Callithrix jacchus: one gene and its partners. The protein of the gene in region 1 purifies or fractionates together with the protein of each later gene. This does not show direct contact. Links are inferred from orthologs where the notes say so. Each region holds a gene or a part of one and is shown in the gene's direction. Other genes may lie near its edges.

Evidence for each region.
Region 2: the proteins of DIS3L (region 1) and HBS1L purify together in Homo sapiens (affinity purification with mass spectrometry; 5 studies listed by BioGRID and IntAct, with this or other methods). This does not show direct contact. The link is inferred for Callithrix jacchus from reciprocal best matches to the Homo sapiens genes DIS3L and HBS1L.
Region 3: the proteins of DIS3L (region 1) and GIGYF2 purify together in Homo sapiens (affinity purification with mass spectrometry; 3 studies listed by BioGRID and IntAct, with this or other methods). This does not show direct contact. The link is inferred for Callithrix jacchus from reciprocal best matches to the Homo sapiens genes DIS3L and GIGYF2.
Region 4: the proteins of DIS3L (region 1) and EXOSC7 purify together in Homo sapiens (affinity purification with mass spectrometry; 3 studies listed by BioGRID and IntAct, counting the BioPlex papers as one, with this or other methods). This does not show direct contact. The link is inferred for Callithrix jacchus from reciprocal best matches to the Homo sapiens genes DIS3L and EXOSC7.
Region 5: the proteins of DIS3L (region 1) and EXOSC6 purify together in Homo sapiens (affinity purification with mass spectrometry; 3 studies listed by BioGRID and IntAct, with this or other methods). This does not show direct contact. The link is inferred for Callithrix jacchus from reciprocal best matches to the Homo sapiens genes DIS3L and EXOSC6.
Region 6: the proteins of DIS3L (region 1) and EXOSC5 purify together in Homo sapiens (affinity purification with mass spectrometry; 5 studies listed by BioGRID and IntAct, with this or other methods). This does not show direct contact. The link is inferred for Callithrix jacchus from reciprocal best matches to the Homo sapiens genes DIS3L and EXOSC5.
Region 7: the proteins of DIS3L (region 1) and EXOSC8 purify together in Homo sapiens (affinity purification with mass spectrometry; 4 studies listed by BioGRID and IntAct, counting the BioPlex papers as one, with this or other methods). This does not show direct contact. The link is inferred for Callithrix jacchus from reciprocal best matches to the Homo sapiens genes DIS3L and EXOSC8.

What each region holds. Positions count from the first base shown.
Region 1 is NC_133509.1:13,371,282-13,374,781, forward strand, and holds part of DIS3L (DIS3-like exonuclease 1), read left to right. Parts: intron 1-1,244; coding exon 1,245-1,492; intron 1,493-2,050; coding exon 2,051-2,143; intron 2,144-3,500. UniProt on the Homo sapiens protein: Catalytic component of the RNA exosome complex which has 3'->5' exoribonuclease activity and participates in a multitude of cellular RNA processing and degradation events.
Region 2 is NC_133505.1:141,717,387-141,720,886, reverse strand, and holds part of HBS1L (HBS1-like protein), read left to right. Parts: intron 1-1,455; coding exon 1,456-1,564; intron 1,565-3,497; coding exon 3,498-3,500. UniProt on the Homo sapiens protein: GTPase component of the Pelota-HBS1L complex, a complex that recognizes stalled ribosomes and triggers the No-Go Decay (NGD) pathway.
Region 3 is NC_133507.1:154,063,576-154,067,740, forward strand, and holds the start of GIGYF2 (GRB10-interacting GYF protein 2), read left to right. Parts: upstream 1-1,365; 5' UTR 1,366-1,427; intron 1,428-4,165. UniProt on the Homo sapiens protein: Key component of the 4EHP-GYF2 complex, a multiprotein complex that acts as a repressor of translation initiation. In the 4EHP-GYF2 complex, acts as a factor that bridges EIF4E2 to ZFP36/TTP, linking translation repression with mRNA decay.
Region 4 is NC_133516.1:27,738,231-27,741,730, forward strand, and holds part of EXOSC7 (exosome complex component RRP42), read left to right. Parts: intron 1-2,314; coding exon 2,315-2,480; intron 2,481-3,500. UniProt on the Homo sapiens protein: Non-catalytic component of the RNA exosome complex which has 3'->5' exoribonuclease activity and participates in a multitude of cellular RNA processing and degradation events.
Region 5 is NC_133521.1:31,651,766-31,655,707, forward strand, and holds EXOSC6 (exosome complex component MTR3), read left to right. Parts: upstream 1-1,142; 5' UTR 1,143-1,187; coding exon 1,188-2,003; 3' UTR 2,004-3,666; downstream 3,667-3,942. Other genes in the region: AARS1 (alanine--tRNA ligase, cytoplasmic), read left to right, coding at 215-400. UniProt on the Homo sapiens protein: Non-catalytic component of the RNA exosome complex which has 3'->5' exoribonuclease activity and participates in a multitude of cellular RNA processing and degradation events.
Region 6 is NC_133523.1:36,660,716-36,664,215, reverse strand, and holds the end of EXOSC5 (exosome complex component RRP46), read left to right. Parts: intron 1-1,160; coding exon 1,161-1,250; intron 1,251-2,310; coding exon 2,311-2,413; intron 2,414-2,717; coding exon of another isoform or gene 2,718-2,755; coding exon 2,756-2,967; 3' UTR 2,968-3,111; downstream 3,112-3,500. UniProt on the Homo sapiens protein: Non-catalytic component of the RNA exosome complex which has 3'->5' exoribonuclease activity and participates in a multitude of cellular RNA processing and degradation events.
Region 7 is NC_133506.1:156,216,188-156,220,411, forward strand, and holds the start of EXOSC8 (exosome complex component RRP43), read left to right. Parts: upstream 1-1,424; 5' UTR 1,425-1,444; coding exon 1,445-1,461; intron 1,462-3,191; coding exon 3,192-3,228; intron 3,229-3,422; coding exon 3,423-3,486; intron 3,487-3,876; coding exon 3,877-3,950; intron 3,951-4,224. Other genes in the region: ALG5 (dolichyl-phosphate beta-glucosyltransferase), read right to left, coding at 231-296. UniProt on the Homo sapiens protein: Non-catalytic component of the RNA exosome complex which has 3'->5' exoribonuclease activity and participates in a multitude of cellular RNA processing and degradation events.

The sequences.
Region 1 (3,500 bases):
GAAACCCTGTCTCTACTAAAAATACAAAAAATTAGCTGGGCATGGTGGCGCGCGCCTGTAGTCCCAGCTACTCAGGAGGCTGAGGCAGGAGAATTGCCTGAACCCAGGAGGCGGAGGTTGCGGTGAGCCGAGATCACACCATTGCACTCCAGCCTGTGTAACAAGAGCGAAACTCCATCTCAAAAAAAAAAAAAAAAAAAAAATTAGTGTGTGTGCTTATAGTCCCAGCTATTCGGGAGGCTGAGGCAGGAGAATCACCTGAACCCAGGAGGTGGAGGTTGCAGTGAGCCGAGATCACGCCATCGCACTCCAGCCTGGACGACAGAGTGAGACTCTGTCTCAAAAAAAACAAAAAAGTTACTTCAAACATTTTTATAGACACTGTTTTTTAATTTCTTTTTGTCATTCTCTTGGAATGTAATCCTTAAAGTGAGATTACCAAGTCAAAGGGTATAAAAGCTTTAAATAGCTTTTGATATATAGTAGCAGATTGTTCTCTAGAAAAATTGGACCCATTTGCATTGCCATAAGGAATGTCTAGGTGTTCTTATTTTCATTATACTTTTTCACAGAACAGTAAATTATTTTAGAATATTTTACCTCATTAAATTTTTATATTTAACATAAGTTTCTGGAAATTATTTGTTGACTTGTTTGGCAGCTCTTAGTGAAAACGTTACAATAAAATAAAGTGTGGGCTAGATATCATAGGACTGGAATTTCCTCTTCCCTTTTAGCCTACTTAACTGCAAATTGATGGCTTAAATAGATAATAGTGGAGAGAAAAATGCCCTAGATAGGTCCTGTATAAAATTATCTTTAAGGGGTAAACCTTTAATATTTGGGACATGATTATTATTTTTTCAAGGCTTAAATTTACAGCTCAACTACATTTAGACAAACAGATCGTTTGAAAATGGGCTGCATGTTGTACTCTCATTCCAAGCCCCTGTAACTAAACAGGCTGGGAGTCGTTGTGGGGCATCTTCTGTCCAACTCTATGGGTCATCAGGGGTGGGGAACTTTTTCTTGTTGACTCCTGACTTTCCAGAACCCAGCACAGTACCCAAGACGTCTGAGGCAACTAATCAACAATTATTGCTCAAAGGGAGCCAACATAGGTTGACGCAGAAGGTAATTGAGAATCAATGAATTTGTATGTGGTCACATTGAGAATATCAGAGAATGGATTTTTATAGAAATCTGTGGTGCATGAATTGCTGAATATTTGGCCTCTCATACAGATGTGTGAGATGCCAGTGAACACACCAGAAAATCCCTGGAAGGTGAGTCCTGAAGAGGAACGAGAACGTAAAGACTTGAGGAGAAGCCATCTTGTGTTCAGCATTGACCCCAAAGGTTGTGAAGATGTGGATGACACACTCTCAGTCAGAACTTTACACAATGGCAACCTGGAACTTGGGGTCCACATTGCAGATGTGACACACTTTGTGGCACCAAATTCTTATATTGATATTGAAGCTAGAACAAGGTATTATGATTTTAAATCACACTATGGTTGTGTGTATGTGACTATATTTTGTGTCTGTAATAGTTTCAGGTGTTCAAAACAAAGATCTCCTATTTGTGCAATTCTGAAGGTTTCTTCCAGAAAAAAAAAAGTTGAGGTCCACTCCCTGGTTTCCTTTAGAGAAACAGTACCTTGGTCGACTTACCTCTCCTTTTTAACATAACCTTTTCCCACGTTTCCTACTAAATTGAAATGGGTTACATTTTCATGTAGTGATATGCTGTTTTATATAAACACTGGATCATTACTCTCCAATTTTTCTTATACAATGAAGATTCATGTCACTTGCCCTTTCTTTCTCATATCAGTGGAAGAATATTCAGCCCAAAGCAGACTCACTTAGAAAAGTGGGACCATGGGAATCGTTTTATTACCCAGTCTGCTGCACTTTATGAAACAGCAGCAGCCTTGGGGAATCTGTAGTGACATTTTGGCCATTTACCTCCCTGTGGTCCACACAGTCAGCAGTTCTGCTTCTCCCCACTGAAGGTCACGTTGCCGCATGTGTATCATTCACAGGGCCACCACTTATTACTTAGCGGATCGTCGTTACGACATGCTGCCTTCCATCCTCAGTGCTGATTTGTGTTCCCTCCTGGGAGGCGTTGATAGGTGAGTTTATGGCTTTTGTCTTCAAAGCTTGTCCTGGCTCTTCTGTGGCGCCTAATGCTGCCTACTCCTGCCCTATTTTTTCTTCTGTGCTACGCCCCATCCTGGCCCTGTGTCTCCCATCTGACCTCTCAACACCACCCCCAACCCCATCCCCACACCACTTACTTTTAGGCAGCTTTATTTCTCCAGCCTTCCCTGACCTTCCTTTCCTCTCTTCCGTCTGCTAGTGGTGGGACTGCATCTCCCTCTGTTGCTGGCTTTTTAAAGTCAGTTAAAATCTGAGAACAAATGTGTGTAGCTTTGTGCTTATGCATTCCCTGGTTGAAGTTGTCTGGCATAAGGATCATTTACTTGGGAGTTTTTTGTTTCTTCATTCGTTGAGATTAAAGTTTATGTTTCTCTTTGAATAGGTAATAGAATCATATAGGGCCAAACTCATAGGTCCCAAGAGGTATTTATTGAAAGTTTCCTATCACTTTCCCTCATTTACCAGTTCTGTATTAGTTTTCCTAGACATAATACACACACAAATATATATATATGATCTTTTTTTACACGAACGGTGGCATCATATAAGATTTAGCACCTTCTTTTAAAAACAACAACAACAATGTAGGCCAGGCGCGGTGGCTCACTTCTGTAATCCCAGCACTTTGGGAGTCCAAGGTGGGTGGATCACTTGAGGTCAGGAGTTCAAGACCAGCCTGGCCAGCATGGTGAAACCCCGTCTCTACTAAAAATACAAAATTAGCCGGGCGTGGTGGCACATGCCTGTAGTCCCAGCTACCTGGAAGACAGAGGTTGCAGTGAGCCAAGATCTCGCCACTGCACTCCAGCCTTGATGACAGAACAAGACTCTCTCAAAAAAAAAAAGAAAAAGCAAAGCTGAATGGTATCTTGGAGATCATTCCATATTAATAACAGTTGCACTATCTGTGGAAATTTGGATAGTTTTCAATCCTTTGGTATTATAAACAAAGCTATACATAGTTAACTTTGAATATAAGTCATTTCACATTTTCATTTTCATTTTCGTTTTTATTGTTATTTTTTGAGACAGAGTTTCACATGTTGCCTAGGCTGGTCTTGAACTCCTGGGCTCCAGTGATCCTCCTGCCTTGGCCTCCCAAAGTGCTGGGATTACAGATGTAAGCCACCACGCCCAGCCCATTTCACACTTTTTAAAGTACAGTATATGTGAAAGAGAAATTCCCATGTGTGATTATGGGATTTCTGTGTCAAGAGTTTGTGCATTTGTGTTTGAATCAATATTATCAAATTGCCCTCCTTAAAGGTTACATCAATTATATTCCTGCCGCTAATGTATGAGAGTGCTTATTTTCCCACAGCTTTGCCA
Region 2 (3,500 bases), on another chromosome or scaffold:
TTATCTCATTTTGGTAACTTCCGTCTTTGTTAGAATAAGCATTAGGATCTTTGGTATGGCCTAAAGGTTCTGCACTGGCTGGCCCTGCCCATCTCTCCAGCTTCATGTAGCTCCCCTTCTGCTGTCATTCCCTCTCAAGAACTGTGCTTCTTCCTACAAAAGGGCCATTATACAAGCTTCTCTTTCTGCTTGGAATGCTCCTCCTTTCTGTGCTAGTTATTATAATTTTGATTCATTTTCCCCATCATATCTCCATTTCTCACTTTCCTAGAGAAGCTCCTCTGTAAGTCATTTGCCCTATCATCAAATCTTATGGCACCATATATGGATTCTTTATAACACTAATAATAGATTTAATTGTACTTAAAAAAAATCATTTAGTATGTTTTCCCCACTAGAATGTAATTTCTCTTAGAGCAAGTGTTATGTCTGTTTTTCACCATCACATTTCCAGCATAGTGCCTGGTACATAGTAGGTAAATAGCAAATATTTTAAATGATTTTTATACATTAACTTATCTTTTCTTAATTGTTTGTGGTTTCTGTATATGTATTTACCAATGTAGCTCACGTAGTTTCCATAGTTTTATGTGGATCCAATCCTGACGGCATTCTTTCTGAAGATTATAAAGATAAATTTTTAAAAGTTGAATGAATTATGTAGGGATCAAATGCAAAAAAAAAATTTGATCTAGCTCATAATTTATTCTCCTCCTTTTTTAAGAGATGGCGTCTTGCTTTGTCACCCAGGCTGGAGTGCAGTGGTGTGATTGTAGCTCACTACAACCTTAAACTCCTGGGCTCAAACCACCTTCCACCTTAGCCTCTCAAGTAGCTGGGACTAAAAGCACTTGCCACCATGCCTGACTAATTCCCCCATGTTCTTAATTTATTTTTTCTACGTTAACCTCGTTCCCCAGGTTCTTTGTAGATATCCGTATTTTAGTAAGTCTAGTGTTGTGTGCAAGTAAAATATGTACAATATTCCAGCGTAATTTAGCAGACTCTCAACTTGTTCATCAGTTCATAAATCTCACAGGATTAAAAATAGTTTAGCCATCTGCTAACTGACCAAACAATTTTAGTATTGTGAAAGGGCGTGGTAGGAAAGGGAGATATAGGGTCTAGGTATAATGTCAGAACAAGGCTCAGTGTAGAAACTACCTTGTGACCTCTTCATACTGAAACTTAACAGTCAGTTCAAAATTAGGAAGAGATTTGGTGGAGGTTAAGCATTGGAGAGTCCTGACAATAGGGGATTTCCTAGATTAAAGAGACAGAATTTCTTTCAGCTTTAATATCTCACAAAGTTTTTTTAGAGAAAAGATAGTATGTTTATAAAGACATGAATTCTGTGAAAATTATAATCTATAATTTAAAATAGTATGTAATAGATTTCTGTATATTACTAAAGAAATTAATTAATTGGCCTTTTATATTTTACTCCTTAATTAGGAAAACCAGTAGATTCCCAGTCATCGCGAAGTGAATCTGAAATTGTGCCGAAAGTTGCCAAAATGACTGTATCTGGAAAGAAGCAAACTATGGGATTTGAAGTGCCTGGGTAAGACTTGAGTACCTCCGTCACCCCCGCCCCCATGTCCACCCCCAACCTCACGGATTGTCTCCTATTAGTCTGTAAGAAAGAGACTTTCAATTTTGCATAATGTGTCATTAGCATTGAAGTATCATATATCCTCCGTATAACATAGTACAAAGAGACAAAAGGAGAAATTAGGCTTGATTCTGGCCTTACGTATGTGTATTACTTATCCTACCTCACCATCAATTTTCTCACATAAATATTTTATAGCTACTTTAACATAAAAAAAAATCTGATTTGGTGAAACCTGGCACCGTCAGATAGGGAATTCTTATACCGCTAGGTGGCACAGGTAACCAGACTTCAGAATGAGTCAGCAAATCATGGAATCATTAGTTAAATTTTCTAATGACTGAAATATTTTTAAACTCTTTTGAATTTTCATATTGAATGAATTGGATCATTGTGGCAAACAGATGATATGAAACACACCTGGAATTTCAAATATCTTGTGAAAATGGAAGTCACCACACCTTGGTAGCTCGTGTTTGTTCTCATCACAGTCTCTAGAATCCTTCCAGGAGTTCTTAAAGACAAGGGAAGTGAGTTGCTTTGAAGCCATTAATTTTCAAGTTCTAAAATTTTTCAGAATTTTCAGTTGTTCAATAAAGCTGTTACTTATAAATTATATGTATTTTGTCTGCCAAATTGATAAAGAAACATTGTTATCAAATATAAACAATAGGTTTTTACTATAAACAATAGATTTTTATATCCTTTTTTTTCTTTCTTTTCTCCCTTTTCCAAAATTATATTTTTTAAGAAACACAAACTCAGGAGCCTTATTTTTTTCCCTTACAATATTCTTTTATCTAAATTAGTGCGGTATCATGAGTTTTGGTTGGGAAGAATGTTAATCATCACCTAGTTCAATTTTTGGATTTTATAGATTTCAAAGTCAGTGAAGGAAAGGACTCCTTCTCTAAGACATAGTACACATTCAGTATACATTAATTGAATGATTGGATGAATGAAAAATTTAATTTAATTTTTATCACCTGTTAAAATAATTTAGAATTCTGATTCAGTCTCAAAAATCTTCATGTATGTCTTTTTTCCTTCTGAATTAGGATTGGGTTATCAGAATAATTGACCTTTTTTTCCTTAATCTTGAATGCCATTTAATTCTGTTATGGGATTTTTCCATCGAGGGAGAGAGAGGAAATACATAGAATACACAAGTTATTGTTCTAAGGATTTTATATTCTTTCAAGGAAAGAATAAGTTAAGCTGGATAGTCTTGTTTCTCCTTTACATATCTGAGTTCCTCACTAGATTGTAATCTTTTGGGAGTGGTAGTTAGCTTTTTCATTTCTATGTCATTTTCTTTTCAACATCAGTCCCTAGTATATGTTGTAGTTTTTAGTAAATCGGGTGTTTGTTGAATTAATTAATTAAAGCTCCACTGTCAAAAATGTTTATGAACTGTAGTCATTTAGAGATATCTCCCCTGAGGGGGATAATAAAAAGGATCATAAGTTTATCATGTTGGAAGGATGAGTTGGGGTAAAACTATATTTTAGTACTAATTCTACTCCAGTAATATATTTGGTGCCATTTTTACAAAATATCCCCTTTATACCATTGATTTTGATAGGATGGATTATATCGCCAAGGCTTAGATTTTGAATTTCAGTTATTTTTAAAGATATTTTCTTCATACCTTCATTTTTTGGTACACTGTTTTTCTCTTGGGATCTTCCACATCTGTATTTGTGTGGTTTGAGTCTAGCTACTTATCATTTCCACCTTAACAGACTCTAGCTACTTAGCAGAGATTATTTTTGGTCTGGAGTATAAAGAATTATGAAGAAACAGTTTTTCTGCCCTTCTGACATTATAGAACATCAGTCGAGTTGGTTTAAAATGCTTTTTTCCTGTCTGCCTTCTGTAGAGT
Region 3 (4,165 bases), on another chromosome or scaffold:
GGAAGTCAAGCTGAGGACTGAAAGACTCAATATTATCAACATTGTTACCAACCTGTAAGATGGGGTGTTTTCAGGGTAAGCAATAGGCAGATAGGAAAAGACAGAAGCCACCTTGGAGTGGTTGATGATTGCATGTCAGATGTGGCAATGGAGAAAGTGCATATAAACAATTCTTTGGTGCAGCTTGGCTGTGAAAGGGAACAGGGTCACAAGAGGTAGCTGGAGGGAGAATTGGAGGGTTTTTTTTTTGAGACATAGTCTTGCTTTGTTGCCAGACTGGAGTGCATTGGTGCGATCTCAGCTCACTGTAACCTCCGACTCCCTAGGTCAAGTGATTCTCCTGCCTCAGCCTCCCAAGTAGCTGGGATTACAGGGACGGGTCACCATGCCCTTTCTGGGATTTTTAGTAGAGGCGGGGGTTCCACCATGTTGGCTAAGATGGTCTCGATATCCTGACCTGGTGATCTGCCCGCCTCAGTCTCTCAAAGTCTCGGGATAACATGCATGAGCCACTGCGCCCTGCCAGAACTGGAATTTTTAACATTCCATTTTAAGATGGGAGACACTTTAAAGCTGACAGAAAGGCTCCTGTAGGAAGGAAGAAGTTGAAGACACAGGCAAGAATGGGATGCCTAAGGATAGAGTTGCTAGATTTAGCAAACACAGGACGCCCAGTTAAATTTGAATTTCAGAAAAACAACGACCAGTTTTTTTTAGTGTTTGCCCCAAATATTGCTGGGTGTCTTGTATTTTATCTGTCAATTCCAGAATAGTTCATCTCTAGGTAAAGAGTTATAGCCCCGGATGTCCTAGGAAGGAGTTGCAGCTCTAGAGTCTTTCCTAGCTGTCCCAGTGCAACACTCTGCAGAACTATCAACAAGTAGAGAAACTGCTTTGAATGTCAGCTTTTGCGGCTTTTCCATTCGCTCTAGGATGGCAACTGGACAGGAAAATGCTGGACTAAAAGTGTGGAAAAGTTCTAATTTGAAAAACCGGCCCGTAAGGGATGCAGAGGCTTTTGAACTGCAAACGGGCTCTGGATTGGGAGTACAGAACAGTGAGTCACAGGGTGGCTGGTCTGGGCCCAACTCTGGACACCAGGTCCTCTCAACTCAAGGGCAGGTACCTAGCAGCAGTCGAGGGGTCAGCGGGCGCCTGCGCACTGCCACGGCCCCGCCCTCTTCCAGGCTTTCATCCGGGTCTCTGGCAGGGGCGTGTCTGGGCAGAGGGGCCGGTGGCTACGGAAAGGAAGGATGTCGTGGGAGACTGGAGAGTGGGGAGGGAAGCGGGAAGGGGCGGGGGCGGGGCAAGAGGCGTGGCCGAGCGAACGCGCGGTCACGTGATGCGCGTGGCGACGTGTCGGCCATCTTGTGTTGTTGAGGCTGAGGACTGACTTGGGTTCTGAGACTCCCTGTCCCGGACCGCAGGTAACCAGCCATTCCGTGTAGCTCCCCTGCCCGGCTCTGCCCCGCGCCCCGGCCCCGCCGCGGCGTCCTGGGCCGCCCGTGCCTCTGACCCGGGCTTGCGTCCCCGTCGATCCTACCCGAGCCGGCTCGGCCGCATGGACACCCACAGGCCGCTCCGGCCGGCTTGGGCCGTCAGGCGAAGGGACAGGTCAGGTGCGGGGCCGGAGGGAGCCTCCTCCTGGGCGAGGGGCGCTGAGGGCCCTGGCGCGTCACGGCCGCGGGGAGCCGAGGAGCCCCTCGGCCAGGGCCTCTTGGCATTGCTAGGGCAGCAGAACAAGGCAGGAGGGTGGTGGGGCAGTCAGGCCGGCTTGTTCGGAGCCCGAGGGCTTGCCTTCCTCTGCCTACTTCTGCGGGCCAGTCACCCGCTCAGCCTCGGGGTGCCCCGGTAACAGCTGCTGCGATCAGACAGCTGCTCCTGCCGGCTCCGTTGTCCACACCTGGCCCCTGGGAGGTGCGCTTCTGCCTTCCCCGCGGAGCATCTGGACGGAGGCAACTCCTTCGTTGGCGAGAGTACTGGGTCTGGACCAGGCCTGAGGCGAGGTGGAGCCACCATGATCGGAACCTTGGGACTGTGGCTAGGAAAGTAGAGCCCAGGGCAGCTTTGGGGACCCAGATGTTCACAACAGGTTGAAATAGGCATTAGCCTTAAGTGTCAGCAGTTTCCAAAACCACTCTAAATACTTGTTTTGCGACTGAAACATAAATCCAGCGAACAGGGAATGGGGTCATGAAAGAAGCGGAGTGTATGACCGTGTTTGAGAAGCAATAACGTTGCTTTGCAGTTAGTTACCTAGTGCTGTGTTTTTTATTTTGTTTTCGTTTTCCTGCAAGTCAGAGCACTTAAACACATGTAGTCTCTCTGTAAGAAAGGTAAGTATTCCAGTTTAACTTTCAAGAAATTCAGTAGGGGGCCAGAACCTGTGAACAACTTCCTATCTAGTGCCTTGAATTAAGGCAGTTTTGAGTCCCAGTGTTGTGTTTGGGGAAGATATTCTTTCCTTATATAGTATTTCCTTTTTAGAATCAAATGACCTCCTAGATTAGAAAAAATTTTTTTCCTTCTTTCTGTACATTAAGTTTGATCCTTCTAATATTTGTAGATTTGACCTTAACAGACTTTGTCCGTTTTGCCTAGAACACAAATGCTTGCTGTCATTCATGGATGGTTTTACGCGTTTTACTAGTTGGTATAGCAGTGTTTGGCGTGCTCAAACTGGAATGTGTACTTCTCTTTTATATCAGATGTTGACATCAGAAGAGGACACTAGACAAGTATTTAAAAGTGGCACGTAACTGGAAAAACGTCACATGATCTTTCTTTTGAAATTTAACATCAAGGAATACACTGGTGATGGTAGTGATTCACTAGAAAGGAGAAGGCTTCATTCCTTTTTGATACCTGACAAAGCATTTGGGAGTCTTGGGGAGGAAGAAGGGACCATGTGCTTTCGTTCATTCATTTATTCATTCATGCATTCATTTATTTGACAGATACCCTATTGAGCATTGACTACACCGTTATGTGCTGGGAGCAAAACAGACCAAGTAATTCCTGTCTGTATGGAATTCATTTCTAGACAGATAAATAGGTAAAATACATGGTGTAGTGTTAAGTGAGGTGAAAGAAAAAATGAGTCAGGGAGATAGGGCAATACGATTTGGGGAGGGGTTCATTTTAAGTGCCCTGAGAAGGCCTCATGGAACAGTTAACATTGTAGCAAAACCCCGCAGAGGTGAAGATGCTGTTTCTTTAGCTCTACAGGGGGAAGAGTCCTCCAGCAAGCTGCTAGGGAGCAGTAAGAGCAAAGACGCGGACCCAAAAACTTGGCTGGGAGCGACTCAGGAGTAGACTGGGAAAAGCATGGAGGGTGGCCTAGGCTAAGAGGCAAGGGCGAGACAGAGACTAGTAAGGAGATGTGTGTACTTGCCTCTGTAGTACTAAGATGAGATGGATTATTTGCTATCCTGAATTATTTTTCCTTATTTCTTATGATTCTTAGAAAGGGAAATCAGATTCTGGAGATTTGGGCCAGCGGCCTCGCCAACCCCCATCCCCTATGTAATTCCCTTCTCCACTGGTATTTGGAAAAATTTAAGATGCTCAAATATTTCAGGAAATTATAATGAATTACCTTTCTCAAAAATAAACATTTTAAAATGAGATTGATGATAAATTGCTTGAGAGTACTTTTCAAAAGCAGTTGCCTTCTAAGAAGGGGGATATTTGGAAATTTCAGGATATTTGAAAATGTAGGGAAATGAGAAATTTTCCTTTGACATTTAGACACATAGTTAAGGAACATAACCAGGTAGAAAGGTGGAATCAGTGTAGTAACTCAAATTATCCTTAATCTGGTTAGTAAAGAATTTCTGTTAATACTGTGCTGTCCAGCGCAGGGACTCTTCCTGTAAGTCATGTGCGTATCCTTTAGAACATTGAACATGTGTAGAACTTTTTGGTTTTTTATTCCTCTACTTTTACCTTTCAGACTAGTTATCTTAATCGGATGCTTAATAGACATATTTTTCTTGTAAAAAACATTTTCTGATTTCCTTCCAATTTATCTCTATATTCTTTTTACTGAGCTTTCACAAATGTCCTCTTTCATTTTAGTTCAGCTGAGGAATTTTAGTATTTTGATTTTGAAATGCTTTTGCTGCTGAGAGGCATATGTGAAAAACATTTTGGAGTAAGTTTG
Region 4 (3,500 bases), on another chromosome or scaffold:
ATATGTGGCCCTTTGTTCAGATACATGTAGTAACCTTACTGACCCCGGTAGGCATTTGGGTTTTCATCCTCTGAGGATGGTCTCTGAGGCCCTTTCCAGGTCTACATTTCTGTCTAAATTTGTCAGAAAGAGTCCTTGGGCTGTGAGTGCCCCAGTAGTGAAGTGGAATCCTCATTTCTCTTTGTCTTCGCCCATCGGCAGAATATGGCTTTCTTATGTTACTTAAAGCGTTGTACCCCATCCCCAACCCTGAATAATTCCCCTCCATTTTCCCAGCCTCCTCCCCAGAGTCACTGCACAACTATGGCATCATCCAGGCACAGGAGAGCTCAATGGGCTCATGAGTCTCTAAACCTTCCTCTTTGTCTGACTCCTGGCTCTTCTGGAAGATGGTGTGTGTGTGTGTGTGTGTGTGTGTGTGTGTGTGTGTGTGTGTGTGTGTATGTGTGTGTGTGTGTGAAGGCATTTAAAAATAGGTAAAAATTTCCACATTAGCCCAATGTCAAAAAAAAAAATTAATGGGGTATGATTTTATAGATAGACTAATGTAGACAGTTGGACCTGGGAAGCTCTATAAACCATCCCCCAAGGCTGTAGAAGAGTGAATGCATTAGTCCCAGAAAAATTAGTCACACCCAGCAGGATGTGTCCACTGCATTCAGGGAAAGATAAACGTTTTGAGCATAAGTATCTCTGACTGGATTTGTGTACACAGAAATCTCTGTAGATGTATTTTTAAGCACTTAAAACACAGGACTTAATATTGATTGCTTAGTGTTTAAATTAAAAACAGGTTGTGTTTTGCTGGCTGTGCAGAGTAAAAACTTGGTCCCTGGTGACTTGATTATTTCACCATAAACAAGCTGCTTTTCTTGGCTTGATGCCTGAGTCCAGCAGAGGCAGGGAACAGCGAGGTTGCTATAGCAGTAATGAAGTCTCTCTTGGGTACTTTAAAGGGGATTCTGGCTCACAGTGGTAAGGAAAGAATATATAATTAGAGAGGCAAAATTGTATGTAACAGCATAGTCTGATTATTTTAGAATTCAGTCTTTTACCTGTATTACCAAGTGAGATTTCTTTTAGTGTTATACAAATGGGATGGGCACTGCCATGGGCCTTCACACAGGTTTTGCATTGCCTAGAATCCTCCCGCCTTTCTGGCCTGACCAGCTCTGCTCATCCCAGGTTTGAGGTCTCCTGTAACCCTGAACACTAATTGACACTCTGTGCCCCTCTCCGCTTCCACCTCACTGTTTGCTGTCTATGGTGAAACTCTCCTACCTCATTGGAACTGCTGGCTTTGGGTCTGCATCTGCTTCACTCAGCCTCTGGGTGTCTGGTAGCTGGTTTAGGGCTGGGAACTTTCCATATGGGTGAGGGTCAGAAGGCTTTAATACGTGATTTCATAGAGTCCATGCTGAAACCACTAGCTTCTTACCTTTCTGGTCCTTTATTGTTATAATAAAATGATTACTATAATGTTTACTTATCTCGCATACATATTAAGGATTTGTTTGTATTAAGCCAAAACTCTCAGAAATGTCCTACTAAATACTTTGGTGTTTTTAGGTTGGCTAATGCTGAATCCTGTTAGTTTTGTTAAGGTTATTGGGCATTAAATATCAAGAAGCCAAAAAGGAGAAAAAAGTTTTTTTCTTGAAAAATACCAAATAAAGGAGGTAACCTACTACTTTTGAGCCAATAATTTTTCTTTTTCTTCAGTACAGTGATCTCTAAAGTTTATAACAAAGCTTTGACGTATATGTCTTTTAAGTCAATCCAGAGAGGATTATATATGTCTTTTAAGTCATTCCGAAAAGGTTATTGTGCTTACATTGTGGTTTTTATGTTGAAAAGTATCATAGCTCATTCTAAAGCTGTGAAACTAAAGGTGGTGTGTATGATGAAAGCTCTCTGTAACCCAGACTGCTTCATTCCCTAGGGCTCTCCGCTTCCTGGGCCTGGCAGACAAGCGTATTTATTATATGCTTGAAGATAAGACAGTTAATTATTATTGGCTGAGGTTCACATTACCATCACTCTCCTGTTTCTCTTTGGCTAAAGATGGCTTCTGTTAGAAACTCTTGGGAAATCCCATCACACACGCTGACAAATCCAGGTCCTAGTGCTGGTCTGGTTCATTACATGTTTCTGGAGGCAGGAAAGGTGGCAGATGCCATTCTTGCCTCATCTCAGTGACTTTCTGTCAAGCAGCTGGCTTTTCCAGCATTCTACAGGGAAACTGGAATAAAGCCTTGCCTCTTTGCTTTTTGCGCTTAGACTCACCCAGTTTTTTTGTTTCTGTTTTGTATAGTTCAGCCAATGCTACCCCTGAGTTTGAAGGTCGAGGAGGTGATGACCTTGGCACAGAGATCGCTAACACCCTCTATCGGATATTTAACAATAAGAGCAGTGTTGACCTGAAGACCCTCTGCATTAGTGCTCGGGAGCACTGCTGGGTTCTCTATGTGGATGTGCTGGTGAGTATCACCTTGCTGTCTGGCCATATTCTACCTATGTTGGAGACTAGTTGGCCTACTTTCCTTCTAGTGCTTTTTTCCTCTTCAGGTGAGTGATTTCAACTTATAGGGTGAGATTAGTTGGGAAAATGTGGTCTCCTATAATATTTTTTTAAAAAATTAAATACAACATAGATATAAGCAGCATATATATAATGCCATTCTATAGTAAAATTATAGTAATATCATGGTAGCACCTAAAATTGCCCATAAAAGTTGTCAGGGAAGAATGAAACGAGATGGTCTCTGAATGGTGCCAGACAGAGTTGGGGGGCAGAATTTAGACAGGTCGGTACATTGTGTGTGGAAGGATGATCAGCTCTTTACGTGCATTTTCATTTAAACCTTCTTAACCTGTTGCAAAAGGACAGTATTATATTCCCCATTTATAAGTTAGGAAACTAAGACACAGAGAGGTTAAGTAACTAGCCCAAGAGGTCTCAGCTTTCTGGTAGTGCTGTTGGATATCAAAGTCAGGTCTGTATGATGTGAATACCTTCTTTGACCTCACTGTGCCATTGCTTTTTAAACAGCTTTTTAAACCTGCTTGCCCCTGGTTTGCTGGGTGAGGCCACAGAGGCCCTGCTTCCTCCCACACAGAGCCCACTCCCTTAGGGATCTTTTTAGTCCAGCCCTTCCTTTCCTCCCTTGTACTTTGCCTCCCAAATACTCCTCTACCCATGTTTTGGCACTCAATAGTAACTTCTCTGTGTAGCTCTAATTAATTGTTTTGTTGTTGTTGTTTTTGAGATGGAGTCTTGCTCTGTCGCTCAGGCTGGAGTGCATTGGCGTGATCTCGGCCTACTGCAACCTCTGCTTCCTAGGTTCAAGTGATTTCATGCCTCAGCCTCCCAAGTAGCTGGGATTACAGGTGTGTGTCACCATGCCCAGCTAATTTTCATATTATTAGTAGAGATGGGGTTTTATCATGTTGCCCAGGCTTGTCTGGAGCTTCTGACCTCAAGTGATCTGCCAAGCTTA
Region 5 (3,942 bases), on another chromosome or scaffold:
TTCTCATTGGTGAAGATGTCTGGTTGATACTTGGCTTTGCCACTCTGTCCTTTCCTGGCTGTGGCTATGACTTCCCCCTTTACCAGCTGTTAAGCGTGTCTCGGCTGCCAGCATCACCACCCTGGGCAGGAGTGGGGGATGGCTCCTGCATTTCTTTTCCTCCATTCCTCATTTATCTTGTGTCCTAACTCCCCCTTCCCTTCTTTTCTTCCAGAATGCAGCCAATAGGGGCCTAAAAGCCAGCGAGTGGGTGCAGCAGGTATCAGGCCTGATGGATGGTAAGGGTGGTGGCAAGGATGTGTCTGCGCAGGCCACAGGCAAGAACGTTGGCTGCCTGCAGGAGGCGCTGCAGCTGGCCACTTCCTTTGCCCAGCTGCACCTCGGGGATGTGAAGAACTGAGGTGGGGAAGGAGGAGTTTGGCACTGGATCCATAGGTCCAGCCAGGAGTTCCTCCTCTGCTCTAAGAACATTAGAATCTTGGGACCTTTAAAGAGCTCCCACCATCTTCCTAACCCCACGGTAACTGGAAGAGGTCCTGTGACCCAGTATTCCTTATATGTCTGCCCTGAGTACCCCAGCATTGCTGTTGTGCATCGATAGGCATCTGGAGCGGACAGCTCTCCAGACCTGAGCTGTCTGGGTTAGCAAATGGGAATCATTTTCGCTGCAGAGAATAAAGGACCATGTGCAATAATTGACGCCGCAGGATCTCTACCCATTCCCAATGGGGGCGCGCCGTTTCCACAGCCTGTGGCCCCTGCTGTCTAGAATAAATGCTGTGACTCCTGCTGGCTGCTGCTGTATTCACTGTCTAGCCCCAGAACTCTGAATTTTGGGAGTAGCCCCTGTGGTTGCCTCAACCGTTTGTGGCGATGGAAGCCAAATAGGTGACATAGAGGGAGGTGTTCATAATTCAACAGAAAATGAGGGGTGGAAGCAGAGAAGCCTCTTTCTTCTAACTGCCGCCCCCCGCCCCCGTTGTATGTATGAACGCCACATGCCCTGCACTAGCGGCACCAAGGCTTTGAGGACGCCGGCCGTTCTCCCTCCAGGCCTTCAGAGGGCGCTATAGCGAAGCCGGCTGCTCCCCGACATCCTTCGCGCAGGCGCGCATCTTTAAGCAGCGGAAGAGCTGGTGTGCGTGGTGGAGCAGCGGCCGGAAGCAGGTCGCACGCCAGGCGCCGTGATGCCTGGGGACCACCGCCGTATACGCGGCCCGGAGGAATCACAGCCGCCGCAGCTGTACGCGGCCGACGAAGAGGATGCGCCCGCCGCTCGCGACCCGACGCGGCTGCGACCCGTGTACGCTCGCGCGGGGTTGCTGAGCCAAGCCAAGGGCTCAGCCTACCTGGAGGCAGGAGGCACCAAGGTGTTGTGCGCGGTGTCGGGCCCGCGCCAGGCCGAGGGCGGCGAGCGCGGGGGCGGCCCGGCCGGAGCGGGTGGCGAGGCCCCGGCCGCGCTGCGTGGTCGACTGCTCTGCGATTTCCGCCGCGCCCCCTTCGCGGGGCGCCGGCGCCGCGCTCCCCAGGGCGGCGGTGAGGAGCGTGAGCTGGCGCTGGCGCTGCAGGAGGCGCTGGAGCCAGCGGTGCGCCTGGGCCGATACCCGCGTGCACAGCTCGAGGTGTCTGCGCTGCTGCTGGAGGACGGGGGCTCAGCCCTGGCCGCCGCGCTCACCGCCGCTGCGCTCGCCCTGGCCGATGCGGGCGTGGAGATGTACGACCTGGTGGTGGGCTGCGGCCTGAGCCTCGCTCCGGGGCCCGCGTCCACCTGGCTACTGGACCCCACGCGGCTCGAGGAGGAGCGCGCCGCCGCCGGTCTCACTGTGGCACTCATGCCCGTCCTGAATCAGGTGGCTGGGCTGCTGGGTAGCGGGGAGGGTGGCCTGACCGAGAGCTGGGCGGAGGCCGTACGCCTTGGCCTCGAGGGCTGCCAGCGCCTCTATCCAGTGTTGCAGCAGTGCCTGGTGCGGGCTGCCCGTCGCAGGGGCGCCGCCCCGCCCTGAACAACGACGGACGCCACGCCGAGACCCGTGCCGTGGGCCTCGAGCCTGCATCGAGATATGCAGCAGGAGCCCCGGAGAGCACCTGGAGAGGCTGAAACAGAGCCGAGGCGCCAGACAGCTGTGGTGGTGGAAGGGCTTTTTACAAACCTCATTAAAGGAACTTTCCTCCTTTAGCCGGCTCTCAGCTGCGACCCAGTTGAGAACACCTGTGAGCGCAGCCTGACTTCCAGGCTGGAAACTTGGAACTTACCTGGAAGCTGGTATCTGGGAACTGTAGTCATTTAAGGGATAGATCCTTTGCACCGCCAGCCAGAGACTCCCTCTGACGTAACTGGGCGACTTTTGAGAGGTTGGACAAGAGGCTGTGCCTTCTCACCGTGTCTGAGCCAAAAGAAAAACACTTCTATATCTGAAAAGCGTCTTCTGTTGTGATTCTTCTTGGTCCAGGATTTTAGAGAGCACGGCTTCTTTGTTCTTACATCCCAGGTGGCAAGGGGCCGTGACCGCGGTGCCTTTAACCGGTCCCGTTCCTTAGACCAACTTGAACGGGACAGATAGGCTGCAAAGAACAGCTGCAGGACTGGATGTGGGCCCTGTGCTTTATAGAAGGAGAAGCTGCCCCCACACGAACCAGAGACAGGACAGCTGCTGAGATATGACAAAAGTAGGAAGAGTTGTATGGCCCCAGCGGCGCGCTGAGTGCACCCCAGCCCCCCACCCTGGTTTGGTACTGGGCAAGACCCAACTCGGCTGGGTAGCTGGAATGGGTTTTGCTCTGGGTGGAAGCCAGATCTGTCCTTGGCCATGTGGAGAACGGCACAACCAGAGGCCTCCACAGCCGGTGGGAAGTGGTGTCCTGGGCCGTCTTCACGTGGTGCCTTGGTCCTAGGAGGAAAACCCTGAGCAACGCCCAGAGAGGGCAGGTGAACTGCCAGGAAAGCCAGGTACGGCTTGGCTGCTCCATAGGGCAGAACCGGCCTGACTCACCACGAGGGTGGGGTCTTTCCTGTGTGGCTCCCAGATCTGCTGGTCTGGTCTCAAGGCTGCTCTGGACGCAGCCAGGTGACTGCCATTGAGAAGGCAGGGCAGCCTGGTCCGGTCTCTGCACTCGGCTTCTCGGGGAAGGGCCGGTGCCGGGCAGCCCAAGGACCAGAATGAGTTTCTGGAGCCACACCAAGAAGCCTTGACCAGGAAAAAGATTTATGAATTTTATTTTTTCCCTTTTGACTTACCTTTCCAGAGCAGGTCTGAAATGGTATCACACCAGTGGAGACAGCTCATGTTATTCTGAAGGATGGCTTTGGAGAGTGGATGACGAGTCTGGAGCCCCAAGAGGGTGGTGTGGGGTGTACGCCGAGGACCTTCCGGCTGTTTCGGGCAGGGAGGGAGACTGGGATCCCAGGGAAATCTGTTGGCTGTTGGTGCATCCAGAGGGGAGTGAAGAGCAGCTGTGGCCGTGTCTGCACTCAGGACTGAGGATTGCCCCTGAGTGCTGGGGTGGGGTGGGGGTGGGCTGTCAGCTGTCCCTTGGAAGACAGCCTCAGCTTCATGAGGATGGCGACCTGGTACAGTCCCAGGCTACCTCCCTCCTAACGCTGTCAGTCCCATGGCTGTCATCGTGAAATGTAACCTCCTAAGAAGCTAAACCTGCTGCAACAGTGAACCTTCCGCTTTTCTGGCCAAGCCCTGTGTTCTCTTCTATTGACCCAGCTCCAGAACGGGTATCTCAGGTTGCATGGGTGCTACCAGGAGGCCTTCACAACCTAGGCAAGGCAAGGACCTACCCCAGAACGCCCGGAGCTGATGAGCCTGGAGGAGATCCTGCTTCCTCTTGGCTGTCCTGGTCCTATGCGTGGTCCTCCACCTGTAGGGAAAGTAGAAGCAGGACGTTAGTGGAGGGGCAGGAGGCATGGGCTAGGAAAGGAGGGGCCCACAGCAC
Region 6 (3,500 bases), on another chromosome or scaffold:
GCCGAGGCAGGTGGATCACGACCATCCTGGTCAACACGGTGAAACCCCGTCTCTACTAAAAATACAAAAAATTAGCTGGGCCTGGTGGCGCGTGCCTGTAATCCCAGCTACCTGGGAGCCTGAGGCAGGAGAATTGCCTGAACCCAGGGGGCGGAGGTTGCGGTGAGCCGAGATCTCGCCATTGCACTCCAGCCTGGGTAACGAGCGAAACTCCGTCTCAAAAAAAAAAAAAAAAATTAGCCAGGCATGATGGTGCACACCTGTTGTAGTCCCAGCTGGTGGGGAGGCTGAGGCAGTAAGGCTTGAGGTCAGCCTGGCCAACATGGTGAAACTCTCTCTCTACTAAAAATATAAAAATTAGCCAGGCGTGATGGCATGTGTCTGTAATCCCAGCTACTCAGGAGGCTGAGGCAGGAGAATTGCTTGAACCCAGAGGGCAGAGGTTGCAATGAGCTGAGATTGTGCCACTTTACTCCAGCGTAGGCAAGTGTGAAACTCCATCTCAAAAAAATAATGAAATAAAACCAGGACCATCAGGATGTCCTCGCTTCACTTCTCGTCCCTGCCTTTCTCAGCTTCATTCTCCGTGGCTAGCATCTTTCCTGAGGCTGGGACTGACCCCGTAAGCTCCCAGTTTCCATCTTAAGAGGCTCAAAAGCAAACATCAGCTCAGGCTCAGTGTCTGAGCTCAGGTTATTCTGTGTTGTCTGCCCAGTGCTCTCATGGTTTCCTCCAATCCAGAAGGCAGAAACCATGTGGAGGGCTTGAGATGGGGGGAGCTGTTGCATTTTTTGGCAGTTGAGATGGAGTCTCGCTCTGTTACCCAGGCTGGAGTGCAGTGGCGTGATCTTGGCTCACTGCAACCTCCACCTCCCTGGTGCAGGCGATTCTCCTGCCTCAGCCTCCTGAGTAGCTGGAACTACAGGCACACACCACCACGCCCAGATCATTTTTGTATTTTTAGTAGAGATGGGATGCTCTACCCTTCTAACCCCATAGAAGGGTGACTGTCTCTCTTGACCTTGTGATCTGCCTGCCTCGGCCTCCCAAAGTGCCAAGATTATGGTCATGAGCCACTGTGCCTGGCCAAGGGACTGGCTGAGATTTTATCTGAAGGGAGGGTCCTAGGTCTCCCACTACCTTCTTCCCCTCGTCCCTAGGAGGCCCGGGCAGTCCTGACCTTCGCCCTGGACAACGTGGAACGGAAGCTGCTCATGTCCAGCACCAAGGGGCTCTTCTCGGACGCTGAGGTACCAGCATGGGGATGAGGGCAAAAGCCAGAGCCTTCCCTCCCACCGACATGCAGTCTTGTCCCAACTCTACCCCGGATTCTGAGAGGGTTCAGGAGAGCCGCTTGCATTTCTGCTTGTAAAAAACAGAGTTTTCAAACTTTGTGGTCCCAGAAACCTTTGTGGAAATGTTTAAGGGAAGCCCAATTTATGGGACAGGCAAAAAGAGGCTGAGCTCAGTTTAAAGTCAGAAGATGGCCAGGCATGAGCCCACTGGTACACACCTGTGATCCAAGCACTTTAGGAGGCTGAGGCGGGTGGCTCACGAGGTCAGGAGATTGAGACCATCCTGGCCAACGTGGTGAAACCCTGTCTCTACTAAAATTAAAAAAAAAGAAACTTTAGCCGGGTGTGATGGCACATGCCTGTAGTCCCAGTTACTCAGGAGGCTGAGGCAGGAGAATCACTTGAACCCAGAAGGTGGAGGTTGCAATGAGCTGAGATTGCACCACTGCACTCCATCCAGCCTGGCAACAGAGCAAGACTCCATCTCAAAAATAATTAATTAATAAATAAATACATACATAAATAAGGCTGGGCGCAGTGGATCACGCCTGTAATCCCAGCACTTTGGGAGGCCAAGGTGGGTGGATCACGAGGTCAGGTGATCCAAACCATCCTGGCTAACAGTGAAACCCTGTCTCTACTAAAAATACAAAAAATTAGCTGGGTATGGTGGCACGCAGCTATAATCCCAGCTACGGGAGGCTAAGGCAGGAGAATCACTTGAACCCAGGAGGCAGAGGTTGCAGTGAGCCAAGATCGTGCCACTGCACTCCAGCCTGAGCAACAGAGTGAGACTCAATCCTCAAAAAAATAAGAATAAAAAAATAAAGTCAGAAGATGAGGGCACATGATGGTCCCCCAGCTCCTAGCTCAGAGTGGTAAGCCACCAAAATTCCAGGTCTCAGGCTAAGGGACAGAAGCTTGGAAACTGCAAAAGCACGTCCAACCTGGACCTTATGAATCTAGGAATACATGGCAGGAAAGACTGGGAGTCTCTTGATTCCATGGCTCTTAGGTTATTCGGGGTCAAGGGGCCCATGACTGTAAACTCCCAAGACCACTCCAATTCTGCACTTTCTCCAGTTCCCTAGCTCTGCAAAGCTGGGGCCTCTTCCAAGGTAGGAGAGGATGCCTGATTGGTCTGAGTCCTGTTGCTGTCAGAATCTTACCCCTGAAGCCCTCACCCTCTCTTTATTTCTCCTGATCTCTAAGAAACGGCTCGTGAAGTGGGAGATAATGCCTCACCACCTGTCTCACTTGGGGGCGGGGGAGTGATGGGAGGTGAAGGGGGAGGTGGTGGGTTTGGGGGGCGAAGGGAGGCAGGTGGGGGTCAGCAAAACCTCTTGCATCAGCCCCGTCATGGTGTGTGTGTGTGTGTGTGTGTGTGTGTGCGCGCGCGCGCGCGCGCGTGCGCGCGCACAGGTCTCAGCCCCCAGCACCAACCAGTCTCTCCCCCGAAGCTCCAGCAGTGCCTGGCCGCGGCCCAGGCGGCTTCGCAACACGTCTTCCGCTTCTACCGGGAATCGCTGCAGAGGCGTTACTCCAAGAGCTGAGACAAGCTGGGGCAGGGGGCCACTCCCTCTGCCTCCACCCACCCACCCACCCGCTACAGCCTGAAGCAAACCAGCGGCCCAGCCTTGCCTCTCTGTCCTATGGGCTCATAGGACAGTGAGCCTGCAGCCATGTTACCATAGGGGCTCCTGCAGGGAGGCCTTGGCCCCTGACAGTCCCCAGGCTTGGGGACACAGATCCCTGCCCAACAAGGAGTTCACATTTATGGAATGGATGAGTCAATAAATTAATTCATTTTAACACATCTGTGGAGTACCCAATGTCTGCAGGCCCTGCTAGTGAGATCCCAGAGGAGCACGCAGCTGAGCTGGTATTTGCCAGACGGTACTAAATCTATGAAAAAAATAAAACCAGCCGGGCACAGTGGCTCACGCCTGTAATCCCAGCACTTTGGGAGGCCGAGGCAGGTGGATCACGAGGTCAAGAGTTCGAGACCATCCTGGTCAACATGGTGAAACCCTGTCTCTACTAAAAATACAAAAAATTAGCTGGGCATGGTGGTGCGTGCCTGTAATCCCAGCCACTCAGGAGGCTGAGGCAGGAGAATTGCCTGAACCCAGGAGGCGGAGGTTGCGGTGAGCCAAGATCGTGCCATTGCACTCCAGTCTGGGTAACAAGAGCGAAACTGCATCT
Region 7 (4,224 bases), on another chromosome or scaffold:
AATCTCTGGGCACACAAAGAGATAAGGTGCCGAGCGAAAATTAAAGAACCGAAGAAAAAGGGGAGTGAAATTCCAAGAAAGGAAACTCAGGTCAGGAATTCGGGGGAAGCTAGGGGAAAGAAAGACAAGTCAGCGAATGGGTGGCGCGGAGGAGGGGACGCCGGAGGAGCCGCAGTCTCCAGGAAAGCGCTGAGCCCCGGCCCGCGCCGGTCCCCAGCCTCTGTTCTCACCAGTACGAGGGCTGCGGCCACAAGCGCCGCACCGAGCACCGCCAGCTGCAGCAGGAGCGGAGCCATCCTCCATGCCGGGGCCGCCGGCCCTATCCGGCAGCTACACACACGCGGAAGCGCGACCCGGCCCCGCAGCCAGAGAGGCCTCGCCCGCCGGCCGCAGCACCCCCGCGTGGCGAGGCGGAGAACCTGCCGCTCTCGAGCGCTCGGCGCCCAGGCGGTGGAGAGACGCGCTAGGTTCCTTAGCACCGCGCCAGGTTAAGCAAGTGTGCAAGATGCCTACTTAATTTGAATTTCAGATTAAAAAAGAAAACTAATCTTTTTTTTTTTTTAACAGCCTTATCAAGATATTTACATACTACACAACTCGTCCAGTTAAAGGCTTCTGGTCTATTACATTAGTTTTTATAAATTGTGGTAAAATAAAACAAAAGTTACCATTTTAATCATTTTAACTTTACAATAGTGAGTGGCATTAAATACATTCACAATGCGGTGCAACCATCACCATCTGTCTGTAAAGCCTTTCCAGCTCCCTCCAGGTTCTGGTAACAACTAATTGCATGCTCTATTTGGGGCATCCTTATGCTAAAAAAAAAAAAAAAAAAAAATGCTGTTTATCAGACATTCAAATTTAACTTGGTATCCTGTATTTTATCTGGTAACCTCACGGCGGAGAGAGATGGCAGCCTTAAGCACGACACAGTCTACAACACAAGCTGACGGTTAGGAGCCAGCTCCAGGACCTGCAGAGCAGAACGTGGTGCGGATAATGAGAGCAAAAAAAGTTCAGATTTCTCAACGTGCTGGAGCAGGGAGCCTTGACCAGGGAAGAAGCACGGTCAGGGCACAGCGTAAGTCACAGGCGGAAAAAAGACGCAGAAACATTGGAATAACGCGCTATACGCAATGCTTGATTCTTCGCTGGAAACCTATTTTCTCCGAAATATTGGCCTTATTCTGAGTGACAGCACCAGCTTTTTTATAGGACACCTTCTCCTTCTCTAACAGCAGATTCGTCAAATTCGTCCAAGCAAGGAAACCTAGAAGGGCGTCTGGCCAGGACAAAGTCTAAGCCAAGGCGGGCCTTTCGTCGCGTCCCCGCCTTGGCGTTTCCTGTGGCGTGAGCAGCCCGGGCATCCATGTCGAAAGTGCGGTGGCGGAACAGGCGAGCAGGCGAAGAGCGGCGCAGGCGCAGACGCGCGGGCGGGAAGATGGCGGCTGGGTTCAAGTGAGTGTTGGCGGCTGGAGGGCCGAGTTCTATACCCTGGCCGACGACGGCTTCCTTTAACTCTTAGCTGAGATTCTCTCACCTGGAGGCCGACCCTTTTGGAGTGCCATTTCCTTCCTTGTCGAAGCAGGCGACGGGCGGGAGGACCTGGAGGTGGTCGTAGTGAAAAGAAAGGGCTTCTTTCCCCTGGCGAAACGGGAGATGAAAGGACTGTAGAGTTCCGTACCCGCTGCGAGCGCTCATGAGCGTGGTGTGTAGTGAACGTGCAGTCCCAGGAGACATAGATGTAATCTTTTAAAGATTGTGGCCTGGCGCGGTGGCTCACGTCTGTAATCCCAGCACTTTGGAAGGCCGAGGCGGGAGGATCGGAGTTCGAAACTAGCCTGCTCTACATGGTGAATCCCTGTCCCTAATAAAAATATAAAAATTAGCCGGGCGTGGTGGCTGGAGCCTGTAATCCCATCTACTTGGGAGGCTAAGGCAGGAGAATCGCTTGAACCCGAGAGGCGAAGGTGGCAGTGAGCTGGGATCACGCCCCTGCACTCCAGCCTGGGCGACAAGAGTGAGACTCTTGTTTCAAAAAATAAATAAATACGAATACATAAAGATTGGTGCGTCAGAGCCACATACCGCCTGGTTCTCCCTCTCTCGTAATTTATTTCTAAAAGAATCATGCCTCGTTCGGAACGTTTTTGTGTGTGTAGCCTATGGACTTTCTTAAAGTTTTAAAAAAAATGGATAAAATAGGATTCCAAAGGAAACCCATTATGTTGAAATAATTATCTATGAATAGGGCCGGGCGCGGTGGCTCACGCCTGTAATCCCAGCACTTTGGGAGGCCGAGGCGGGTGGATCACGAGGTCAAGAGATCGAGACCATCCTGGTCAACAAGGTGAAACACCGTCTCTACTAAAAATACAAAAATGAGCTGGGCATGGTGGCGCGCGCCTGTAGTCCCAGCTACTCGGGAGGCTGAGGCAGAATTGCTTGAACCCAAGAGGCGGAGGTTGTGGTGAGCCAAGATCGAGCCATTGCACTCCAGCCTGGGTAACAAGAGCGAAACTCTGTCTCAAAAAAAAAAAAAAAAAAATTATGAATATAAACTCCGAAGTCATGATATAGTAGTATATATACTTGCTTTGCTTTAAAATTTACCTTCTTAAACAGGATCTAGTGACGAGTCTAGTAGTACCTCGTGGGATTTCAAAGTAACAGCCTAAACATACAGTACACAAATGAATACATCTGTGGTCTTTGTTAAAGTTGCAGGTACTGCTAATGTTACAATCGTGTATTGCCTCCAGCCATAATTGAAGAATGTGCTAAGTGTCCGTTACAGTGAAAATAAAGATGTACCTTTTTTGTTTCCTGAGTTACCTAGTACGATCTAACTCATGTTCCCGTTTATGAAAATAATCTCTTCATGATCACTAGATCACTCTGAATCCTTGTTTCAGAGCAAGAATGACATGATTTTTCTGACACCTAGATTAATCCGCTTTTAAAGAGCTCACTCAAAGGGCTTTTAGACGCCAATCTTCTTAATCGATTACAGCAGTTAAAATAGCAATTGGATGCGATTGCTACTGCAAGGGTTTTTACTTTCTAGAATTAGATTAAAATTGTGGCAGTTTCTGCTGTATCACCATATTCTAAAGAGCTTTGCCCATTTCTGGATTTATGTTAAGATTCATCATTTATCTCAGCTATATTTTTAACATGTGTTTCAGAACTGTGGAACCTCTGGAGTATTACAGGAGATTTCTAGTGAGTAAAGTTTATGTACATGTTATGCCTTATGTTAACAATGGGCTTCTTTTAAAGATAAATTTCAAGTAATTTAAATAAATCCATTTGAAGTAACATTTAATGTGTTTCCCCTGGTGTGTGTAAAACTTGTGATAGATATGTAAAGTATGTAATAGGTAGAATCTTTTTATATAAACATTATATTTATTTAGAAAGAGAACTGCCGTCCTGATGGAAGAGAACTTGGTGAATTCAGAACTACAACTGTCAACATAGGTAAGGATGTATTTTCCACTTTCAACTGTATGATATTCCCAAGTTTTAGTCTCTGAACCACCTCAACAGTTTTTCAGCCAAATTCTCCCTGTCTAAAGGATTTGATGATTTTTTTTTTGTCAAGAAATTTTTTATCCGTACAAAAGCCCTGTAACTGAATGAAAAATTATTAACACAAATTCAAGGACAAGTGAATAATTATTTAAACACTAATTTTAAATAGTTTATATCATTTAAAATCAATTATTCCAACTTGAAATACATTTTCATAAGCAACTGACAGGTGTAGCAAGGTAATCATACACAGCAAACTAACACACTTAATGATTATGTAGATAATTTTGTAGCTGTTTTCCTTTTATTTACTTTTCATTTTGCTTATCTTTTCAGGTTCAATTAGTACCGCAGACGGTTCTGCTTTAGTGAAGTTGGGAAATACTACAGTAATCTGTGGAGTTAAAGCGGTGGGTATAAATAGGTCCTACTGAGATTTGAATTACTAAATTAGCCTCCTCTATTTATTAGATTATAATTTACACCTATAATTCGGTTGATTTGGCAGTTGGGTGTCAGTATTTAATTTCCCAAGAGTTTTCACTATGAGTGTTAGATAATTATGACCCAAGCTTAATGACAAAATACCAAAAATAGCCAGGCGCAGTGGCAGGCGGCTGTAATCCCAGCTACTTGGGAATGACTAATTGAACATTTGTCAAATGTACCAAAATGAAATAACTT